2 linked regions of the Caenorhabditis elegans genome follow. The protein of the gene in region 2 interacts with the protein of the main gene of each other region in a biochemical or structural test. Each region holds a gene or a part of one and is shown on either strand. Other genes may lie near its edges.

Region 1 (5,071 bases), on a different chromosome or scaffold from region 2:
GAGAATTACACCAAGACTCCAAACATCTACTTCAGGACCATCGTACTTTTTACCGGAAAATAATTCTGGAGCAGCGTACGGTGGAGATCCACAAAATGTGTCGAGTTTGTTTCCAAGTGAGAAGGTATTCGAAAATCCAAAATCAGCAATTTTAATATTCATATCTTGATCGAGAAGCAAATTTTCAGCTTTCAAATCTCGATGAATTATATTTTTCGAATGCAAATATTGAACAGCAGAGACAATTTGTCGAAATTTGGCTCTTGCTTCTTTCTCTTTCATTCTTCCGTGTGCAACCAAATAATCAAATACTTCACCACCGGATGCATATTCGAGTACTAAATACAGTGTCTGTTCAGTTTCCATCACTTGATATAATTTCACAATATTCGGATGATCCAATTGTTTCATAATTTTCACTTCTCGGAACAATTTTTGAAGACTCGATGGGTTCAGAGCAGTCTTGTCGATAATTTTTATAGCGACTTCATGTCCGGTTATCACGTGCTTTGCGAGTTTTACCTGCAAAAATAATTAATTAAATGGTCATATATCTAAGATTTATTTTTGTCAGGCTGTTTCGTATTTCCGACTGGGAAAAAAAAAGATTTTTAATAAAAAGTTACGGTGCACGGTCTCCAAGGTCCGGACACGACTTAAAATGTTCTGAACAAAAGAGTGTACTCCTTTAAAGGGTACTGTAGTTGTGATTCCCTGTTTTTTGTGCAATGTTTTGCAAATTTTCACAATATGTCTATCATTTTTTCGAAGTTTATATTTCTTTCATGACTTTTATATGATTTTGGGTTTTCGAAAAATAAATTTTAAGCGTAAAAAAATGAAACCGAGATTTTTTTTTCTGAAATTTTCTCTCGTTTCTCAAAAAAAATATATAAAAAAGTTAAATTACTTCTCAAAAAGGAAATATCATTAACTATATATAAAAAAATACAGTTCGTCTGTCCGGAGTTTGTAGTCTATGTAGTCTTTGGAGTCTGTGACGTCACGCCCAAATTTCAGTGAGAATAGTGGGCGTGGCACCCTTCGTGGTGAGACCCATCGTGTTGAGACCCTACGTGGTGAGACCCTTCGTGGTGAGACCCTTCGTGGTGAGACCCATCGTGGTGAGACCCTTCGTGGTGAGACCCAAAATGTTGGCGTGAAATTCAAATTTTAAGTGAAAAAAATTTTGGCGGGAAATTCAAATTTTAAGTGAAAAAAATTTTGGCGGGAAATTCAAATTTTCAGTAAAAAAAATTTTGGCGGGAAATTCAAATTTTCAGTGAAAAAAATTTTAGCAGGAAATTCAAATTTTCAGTTAAAAAAATTTTGGCGGGAAATTCAATCAGTGAAAAAAATTTTGGCGGGAAATTCAAATTTTCAGTGAAAAAAATTTTGGCGGGAAATTCAAATTTTCAGTGAAAAAATTTTGGCGGGAAATTCAAATTTTCAGTGAAAAAAATTTTAGCAGGAAATTCAAATTTTCAGTAAAAAAAATTTTGGCGGGAAATTCAATCAGTGAAAAAAATTTTGGCAGGAAATTCAAATTTTCAGTAAAAAAAATTTTGGCGGGAAATTCAAATTTTCAGTGAAAAAAATTTTTGGCGGGAAATTCAAATTTTCAGTGAAAAAATTTTTGGCGGGAAATTCAAATTTTCAGTGAAAAAATTTTTGGCGGGAAATTCAAATTTTCAGTGAAAAAATTTTTGGCGGGAAATTCAAATTTTCAGTGAAAAAAATTTTAGCGGGAAATTCAAATTTTCAGTGAAAAAATTTTTGGCGGGAAATTCAAATTTTCTGAGAAACTTTTTGTTAGCTTAAGTACCACCTGGAACTGGCGAGACCCATCGTGGTGGGACCTTTAAAAATATGGGCGGGAGCTTCAAAATTTATGAGAAAAGAAATTTTGGCGGGAATTCAAATTTCCAAGAAAAATTTTGGCGGGAAATTCAAATTTTCTGAGAAAAAGATTTTGACGGGAAATTCAAATTTTCTGAGGAAAACATTTGGCGGGAAATTCAAATTTTGGTTCTGGAATCAATTTTTTGTTTCAGCACCTTCTGGAAGTTTCAAGAAAATTCTAGAATGTTCTAGAATCATCTGGAAAATTCAAAAAAGTTCTGAAATGCTCTACAACCTCCTATAACTGTAGGAGTTTTTATTTGTTTCGTCACATCTATATTCAAAGAACTTACTATTAGTAGTTAATTATTCAGACTTCTCCAGTTAAGGAAAGTTATTAACTTATTGAAAAACTGTAACTCTGTGGAATTTTTTCGGGGGAGGGGGACAGCTCGCCACGCCAACAGTGAGAAAAATAGTGTGGTGCGCGGACCTCGAATGATGTCGGCGGCTGATATTACCTGGGGTACCGCTTTTTGCCTTTTCCCCGTGAGTGAACGAGAAAAAGGCGGGGACTATTTTGGCGTACACGCAACGCAGTTTTATAATTTTGAGTGTAGAAAAATCAGAACATTCTAACTGTCTCTTTGAATTTTCTGAATCGAATACCATGGAAGAAGAAAATGCGATTTAATCGATGAAGTTTCAACTTTTTTAATGATACATTTTTGAATGATTAAAAGGACATCTATGTATTATACATTTTAAACTCCGCCAGTCGTTGGCCGCGCCGGAGGCGCGGTCATCGACTGGTTTTAATAAATAAAATTTTTAAAAAATTTGGAAAACAGAAAATTTGCCAAAAACCGGGAGTTTGTAACTACAGTAATCCTTAAAGGCGCTCGGTCGTGTCGAGACCGGCTACAGTATGTTTCAAGCTCTAATTTTTTGATAACTATTTTTTTTCGAAATTTCCAATCATCAAGTGCTCACCTTTGCAAAATTTCCCTTTCCAATAGTCTTCAATAGCTTATACTTTCCAACGTGTACATCCTGATCGTTGCGTCGTGCTGCCGATCGACTTGACATACCCGATTGTCCAGTAGATCGTGCATGTGATGAAGAGCTGGAAAAATTTTTATTGAAAACTGGTGGACTGGGGCTTTATTTTAATTTTAAATGTGAACTAAAATTAACTTTTTTCGGTTATGTGTGACATGATCTCCATCAGGTGACACTTTCACCGTTCGCCGTTTCCCAGATGAAGTTAGTGTGGGAGCCATCGGAGCTGTAGTGACCACTTCAGACACTTTTCGCTTCGGGATCAGAGATTCCTCCTCTTCCGGAATAGGCGTCACAGATGAACTACTTGGCTGGCACATAAATCTAGCGAGTAACGACGAGTATGCCGCATTGAACATATCGAATTAGGTCAAACGGACGCGTAAGAGCCCTGGGGCTCCCCGAAATGGAGCAAAGCGTGGAGGACGGACACACTGGAAAAAACGAGGAGAGCGCCGGCAGTAGAAGAGGAGCAAGCGAGCAAGAAGAAGAAGATGGGCGGCCTTTCTCCATACACATCCATCCATCCATCCATCCACACTTTGGAGAAGAGACACAAATTGCATCCATGTCTCTCTCTATCTGTCTGTATTCCTCTTGAAAAAAGTGTGAGCAAAAGGAGAAAAAAACTAAGAGGGAATATGTGTCCCCTTCTCTTTCTATTGCTCCCATCACATCGGAATTTCTCCAAAAAACCCTCCCCGCCGACCGATAAATGCCCCCACAAAGTGCTGCTCCAAGTGCTACATAAAATCGTGTCCCCCCCCCCCCCGCCATGCCTCTTCGTTTTTTCTAATTTCCCTTCGCGGACCCCCGTTTTTTTGTGGCTTTGATGGACGGGGCTCGTTGAATTTCTGTGTTTAAATTTTCATTCGATGCTGACTGCTTGCGGGGCCATCCAACGTCATCTCGTTGTGCTTGCAATTCTTCATTTTGAGTGAAGACGTCAGCACAGAGGGGAAGAAATGACGACTTTTACAGCCGATTTAATGAAAAAAAAAAACTCGAAAAATAGCGCTTCGGAAACTTTTTTTTTTCATTTGAGACGCGTTGTTCCAATAGAAAAGGAAGTTCCAGCCCCTCAGTTAGAAAAAATTGTTTTTCAAAAAGAAAACCGTTAAACTGCCTTTTTTGGATATAAAATCAAAGGTCAACCGAATCTAGAAACGTACTAATTATATTCGGCCACTTTGCCCCATTTAGTGGCTACGTTCATCATATTGCCCGTACCTCGTAGAACACAAAAAAAGTAAGGCGAACTCAGGCGCCGGACATAAAATGTAAAATCTGATGTTCAACAAGAACAACGATGGTCTTCTTCTATACTACAAGCTGCTATGATGAATCATGGAAAATTTCTTGCAGCACGACCAACGAAAAATTGAGGGGGCGATGAGTCATATTCAAGAAGAGAAGCAGCCGGAAAAAATATTTTGAAACAAGATAGAAACCTGGTCAATTCATATTCCGGAAAAAAGGTCCGAGGCTGTTGAGATGGATAATATGCAGAATGCCGTGAAGATGTGGAAGGTGGTGAATATGAATATGGATGATCGTCACAGCACAAATCATCGAGATCCAGTGCAAATGCGTACGATTTCTTCGTCATCTTAACAGTTCTTGAATCTTGAATCGCGAACAATAATTGAATAAAATAGTGTCGCACGTGAATGTGTAAGGTGATCCAGCAGCTTCTGAGCAGGTGTGTCAACCAGTCTGCACTGTCAGTCAGTTCAGTACAAAAATGAGTCAGTTCTTCAATTCTCTCAGTCGAGGCGCTTGTCGTTTTCTCACAACGTCTGCGTGTCCACCTCTCCTATTACTGACTCTCTTTCCGATAAGTCAATAATAAAAATTGAATAGATTGGGGGTGGAGGAGGTAGAACCGAATAGAATAGGACAACACACCAGGTGCACCGAGACGACGAAGATGGAGTTGAAAAAAAGAAGTTCGCGTCTCACTTTTCTTCTTTATAATCGTACTAACCGAGAAACTCATCACAAACTCTCGGATTGACGTGGCACTATTAAATAGGTTGAGAACTAAGAGGGTGGAGGAAACATGAAAATGTACACCAAAGAGCATCATTACAAAAGCAATGAATAGGGTTGTGCCAGTTTTTGGTTGTTAGTCAATTAGATTCCAGCTTACAGGAGCTCCAATAGC
Region 2 (4,967 bases):
TTTATGTGTGCTCTTCGCTCCAAGACCCCCCAACAAGTAAGCCACGGTGGGGTTGCGCAAGGGCATCAAGAAGAGGAGCGGCTGAGAAAAAATGACGACAATCATCAGATCGAACGACAAATAGAAACAGAAACACTCGGAAGAGAAGGGAAGAGAGATAGAAAGGGGAAGATGTCTATATACACATCATTCCTAACCATTTCTTCTTATCTTCTCAATAGTTGGTAAAATGTCCATGATATTTGTTCTCGTCGCGAACAACAACAACACAAGCTGTTTATCAGTAAAGAAAAATACAAAAACCACCCGAAAAAAAGCTGCTTTCAGAACAGATGATTCGTAGTGGCAGCGGAGGATGGCGATAACATGAGATATGAGTGTTATGACATTGCATGTAGAATAGGGGGTGCTTTATTTCACGATGATGGCGAGGAGAGAGAGATAGAGATAGATGAACAACTTTAAGTGCTGCCAATTCACATGTTCTGGAGCTATTCGGAGGCCTTTGGAGTCAAATACAATAAGTTTGAAAGGAACAATAATTCAAGGTTTTCACATCACAATTTTCATTTTTCAACTGAAATTCAAAACTTCCACAATTATGAATAACGCCAAAGTTGTTCACAATTTTTGAATTGAAATTCAAAACCGAACAAAAACATTCCAAGGTGACTCACCATATTTTTTTAGTCACACGAAAACTTTGAGTTCTGTTCAATTTTCTTTTCGGCTGGGACTAAACACAGCTTTACATGTTACATGACCATAAAAACTGGATCAAATTAGTAAATGGAAAATTTATAAAGTCTGATACGGCTGAAAAAAAAACTCCTGCCTTTGAACCGTGCTCATCGTAATATCAAAAGTGTAGGCGGCGGGTTTAAAACTGGCGCCCAACTTCCTAACAAAACACTAATTTCTGCAATTGACTCACACTTTCTACTCGTACTCCTATTACACAACGTCCAACTATACATTCCATTTGATTAATTTCAAGTTGGTTGTTGCTGCTGATAATGATTATATCGTCCTCAACGTCAAATAAATCTAAATCAACAAAACTGAGAGAGAGAGAGAGAGAGAGATAACAAATCTTAAGCCTTCGAATAAATTCTTATCAGATTTATTTAGATCAACTGCCTGCCTACAGCGGAAAACTTAATTTACTGCGAAACGAATGCTACAACCTGCGCGAACAGGAAGCATGATGATCGACGACGATGATGATGAGGGGGAAGAGATTCGTACAAAATCCGCCATGAAGTGAACATGGTGAGAGACCAATGCATGTTATATAAACAAAAATCTACCAAGCGCGTCGAAATCAATCCGTTTATTGCAAATTGCAAAATCCAATCGGGACGAGGCGACGGCCTCCGGAATTTCCATGCCGCACAGCGTACGCCGATTAAAGTCAAATTCGACCAGAATCCATTTTGGAAATTAATCCCTCTTTGGCTAGGATTCGCTAGTTATGGTTGGTGGTCCAAGAGGAGAAAATTGCCTTCAATTTGTAGAGATTTTCAAGAAAATGAAGCGATCATTGGATATTCAATCAAGATAAATGTTTTACTGCTTAGTAAATATAAATTGGGATGATAACCACTAAGTCTTAATGTTTAAAGTGAGAAGATCAGGAGTAACTAAATAAAAATCCAAGAGCACCACAGTTCAACTCCACAAAATAGTAAAACTTTTTGACAGTCACTTATGAGAGAGAATGAAGAAATATCTATTATTTACAGTGTTGTGTGCCAACAACACACTGTAACACTGTCTGCGTCTCTTCCAAACTTTCTTTTTCTCCAAAGCGGAAAAGGAAGGGGATTATTTGGTGAAAATGAACAGAGAAATGGTATTCAACACATCCTCATCGGTGCGGCCTTGTTCTCAGCCGAATTAACCTCTCCGAGAAAACGAAAGGGGGCTGCTGCTTCTTCGGGAATGGAATAATATTGGAAGAGAATAAGACGAAGATAAAATTGCGTGCTTCTTGTTGATTTTCCTTTCATTATTCCCGACTGACTGTATTCATGGGAAAATTTGGGATACGCTTTTTTGCCTCCAAAATGACCTTTTTTCTGCAAATTTTTGGAGAAAAAAAATTACCATTCCCCTCGCTTTTTTGTACCGAAGAAGTGCTGCGTCTGCTAGTTGACCAACTGTCTGATCCTGAACAAGAAAAATATTAAAAAATTGATTGAACATTTGAAAAAAAAGCTCACCGATTCCTTCCATGGTACCACAATTTTCATTCGTCCAAATTGAACAGTGACTCGGCGAGTTCCATTCAGTGGAAGCGATTGATATTGGCTCTGAAAAATTAAAATATTGCTTATAATTATAAATTACAACCAAGGTTTCAAATATTCAATGGATTTCACATTTTTTAAAGTAAAAAATAATTCCAGATTTCGGTGTTATAATCGAAAAAGCCAGAAATTTCAAATTTGAAAAGGATCTTAAACTTTCCAACTCAAAAATAGAATGTGTACAAAATTCGGATTTTGACTTAAAAATTTGAATTTACAAAATCATTTTAAAATGCGCATTTTTGCAGTATGAAAATTTGCAGAAATGGAATTCTCAGCAGTTCAAGCATTTTTTTGAAACAAAAATCGGGTAGAACTGTTGACAGTTTGAATTGAAGATTTCTGAAGCGTGAATGAAAGATAATTCAAGATTTTTTCTCCAATTTTTAAGAAAAAAAAACTTCCGCACTCTATCAAGTGTAGATATTGAGGAATTCGCGTAACCACTCGCAATTCCGTACTGTTGCATTCGTTTTTTCAGTGTCGATTCACCCTCGTCGCTGCTTTTACAGCTTCCCGATGGTTCGCCACCTTCCGGACACGATGTGCTAGATGATGACGTGGATGAAGCCGACATGATGATCGATCTGAAAATGAGCAGATATAAAGAAAAATTAAATGAAATGAAAAGAAGTTTTAACAAACCAATCAACGTTTCTCCTCCCGAGAGGCTCTCTCGTTTCGCACCTATTTGCTCTGCGAGACCTTTTCTATCTGCAAGAAAATATATATTAGAGTGATAAGAAAATGATTGGTGTGTCTGTGAAGTAAGTAACAGTAAGAGAGAAAGAGCAAATGATTTAGTGTGCTCAGCGATGGAAAAAAGTTTGAATTTAGCGGGAAAACATTAAAATCTTAAAAATTTGTCCGAATTGCCCGCGCCAATTTTAAAAGGATACAAAAATTAGCTTTTTAGTGATTTTATTCTTGAGTTTTCAAATCTGTAATACAAAAAATTCAGCGTTTTAAGTTTTGTTTTTGCGCAGACAAATTCAGCTCGAAAAACAATATTCTGAAAAAAATCGGCCCGATTTCCGATTTCAATCGGATTTTTTCGTGTTTTCAAGATCTGAATAGCTTAATTGATCTTCTGGACGAGAATTAGTTGACGGAATGAGAAAAAACTCAAAATATCGCACATAAATCAATAGACAATCTAAAAATTTGAAGTTTTTGCAGATTTTAATTTTCAAAAAAAATTTCCCGCCATGCGATAGGTCTCGCCGCGAATGCGTACCGTACCCATCTGTTCCGAAAAATGATTACTGTATTTCTCAATTTCACAAGTCTACAAATTTTTTTAAATTTTATTTAAGAAAAAGCGGCCTTAAAACTGAATTCGCAGTCATCGCATTGCTCATCGCATAGCTAAATAATAAATGAATTTTTGATATCAAAACAAACAATGAAACCTTTGCTGGGAAAATGGGAGGACATTTCTGGAAGACAGAACGGGAGGAAGGTGGTTATCCAATTACATTTTTGGATTCTCTCTACTCTATTTTCTCTCTCAGTGCTCACCAAGGATTTCCAAATGTGCCTATTTTATTTCCACTTGGGCAATTTGTCAAGTGGAGAAGTCACACAGAGGATCCTCTAGAGAAGATGATGATCCATTATAATGAGCATGTTGGAGGAGACGAGTTTTTGGAAGAACACCGAGTTGTGCTGGGATGGATTTGTAAAAAAACAGGAAAGACTTGAAAATAAATTGCTCTACTTTTTGGGGAAAATTCAATTTTTCTTGGATTCGGAAAACCTTATTGTCGGTTTGTGATTTAAAATCAGACGCGGAATTTTGCGTTTTTCCAAAAATACGATACGAAAATGTTTTGTTAAATACATATATGTGGGGAACGCTATGAAAATTCAATGAAAATTCTTGAGCAACGAAAGTTTGAAATTACAGTACTCCTTAAAGGCGCAACCCTTTTCGCATTTAACAACAGTTTGTCGTGTCGAGACCGGGTACCGTATTTTCGGCGTAAAATAAACTAAAACCGACTATAGGTCACATATTGTGTACCATTACACTTTCTGATTGGCATTTTCCTAATGTAAAATGTCAAAAAAGAGAAGGTTGAGTCAGTGCGCACCAGCTGTATTGCACAAGAGTTAGAGAGCCATCACCTCATTGCATATGCCAACTTGACGCCACGACACACATATTTCATGAGATGGATTGGAGAAGCAAAATGACAAATTATAGTCGTGTCAATAAGTTATATGAAGTGGGTGCTGTCCCGACTATTAGTTGAGCTGGCAAACGACGAAATGAACAGAGATTGGCGCAGCGGTGCGCGATTGGATATTAGAAAAACAGTGAGTTACCAGCGGAGCTCGCGCGGCTTGTCAAATGCTCGGAGAGCCTGAATGGAAAAGCTCAAACTGAACAATCAACTTTTTGCACTTTTCTACGATTGCTTTTCCGAAAGTTTAAAAATCTACAAGAAAGATATTTTTAATTGCCTTTTATCGAAAAAAAAAGAGCAGGCGAGGTATTGCCATCGACGTTCATACCTCAACTTAATGTCAATGAGACTCATAGGTCCGATTGACCGAGACACTATTTGTGTAGAGGTATGCATGAATAACACCGTCTCTCCTCTCTTCGCCGACTGACCTTGCTCGGTACTTTTATGGGCCACAACACCA

What was found.
Region 1: of the proteins of par-3 (region 2) and par-1, one has a biochemical effect on the other in vitro, tested with the Caenorhabditis elegans proteins (one study listed by BioGRID).

What each region holds. Positions count from the first base shown.
Region 1 is NC_003283.11:14,123,276-14,128,346, forward strand, and holds the start of par-1 (Serine/threonine-protein kinase par-1), read right to left. Parts: upstream 3,264-5,071; coding exon 3,040-3,263; exon of another isoform or gene 2,981-3,039; intron 2,969-2,980; coding exon 2,836-2,968; intron 523-2,835; coding exon 1-522. UniProt on the Caenorhabditis elegans protein: Required for cytoplasmic partitioning and asymmetric cell division in early embryogenesis. Phosphorylates and restricts the asymmetry effector mex-5 (and possibly also mex-6) to the anterior cytoplasm of the zygote.
Region 2 is NC_003281.10:5,662,294-5,667,260, reverse strand, and holds the start of par-3 (PDZ domain-containing protein), read right to left. Parts: upstream 3,029-4,967; 5' UTR 2,958-3,028; intron 2,900-2,957; 5' UTR 2,890-2,899; coding exon 2,722-2,889; intron 2,316-2,721; coding exon 2,226-2,315; intron 2,173-2,225; coding exon 2,110-2,172; intron 1-2,109. UniProt on the Caenorhabditis elegans protein: In cooperation with pkc-3, required for establishing cell polarity and regulating spindle orientation in the early embryo. Localization is crucial for recruiting par-6 and pkc-3 to the peripheral apical cortex and restricting par-2 to basolateral surfaces.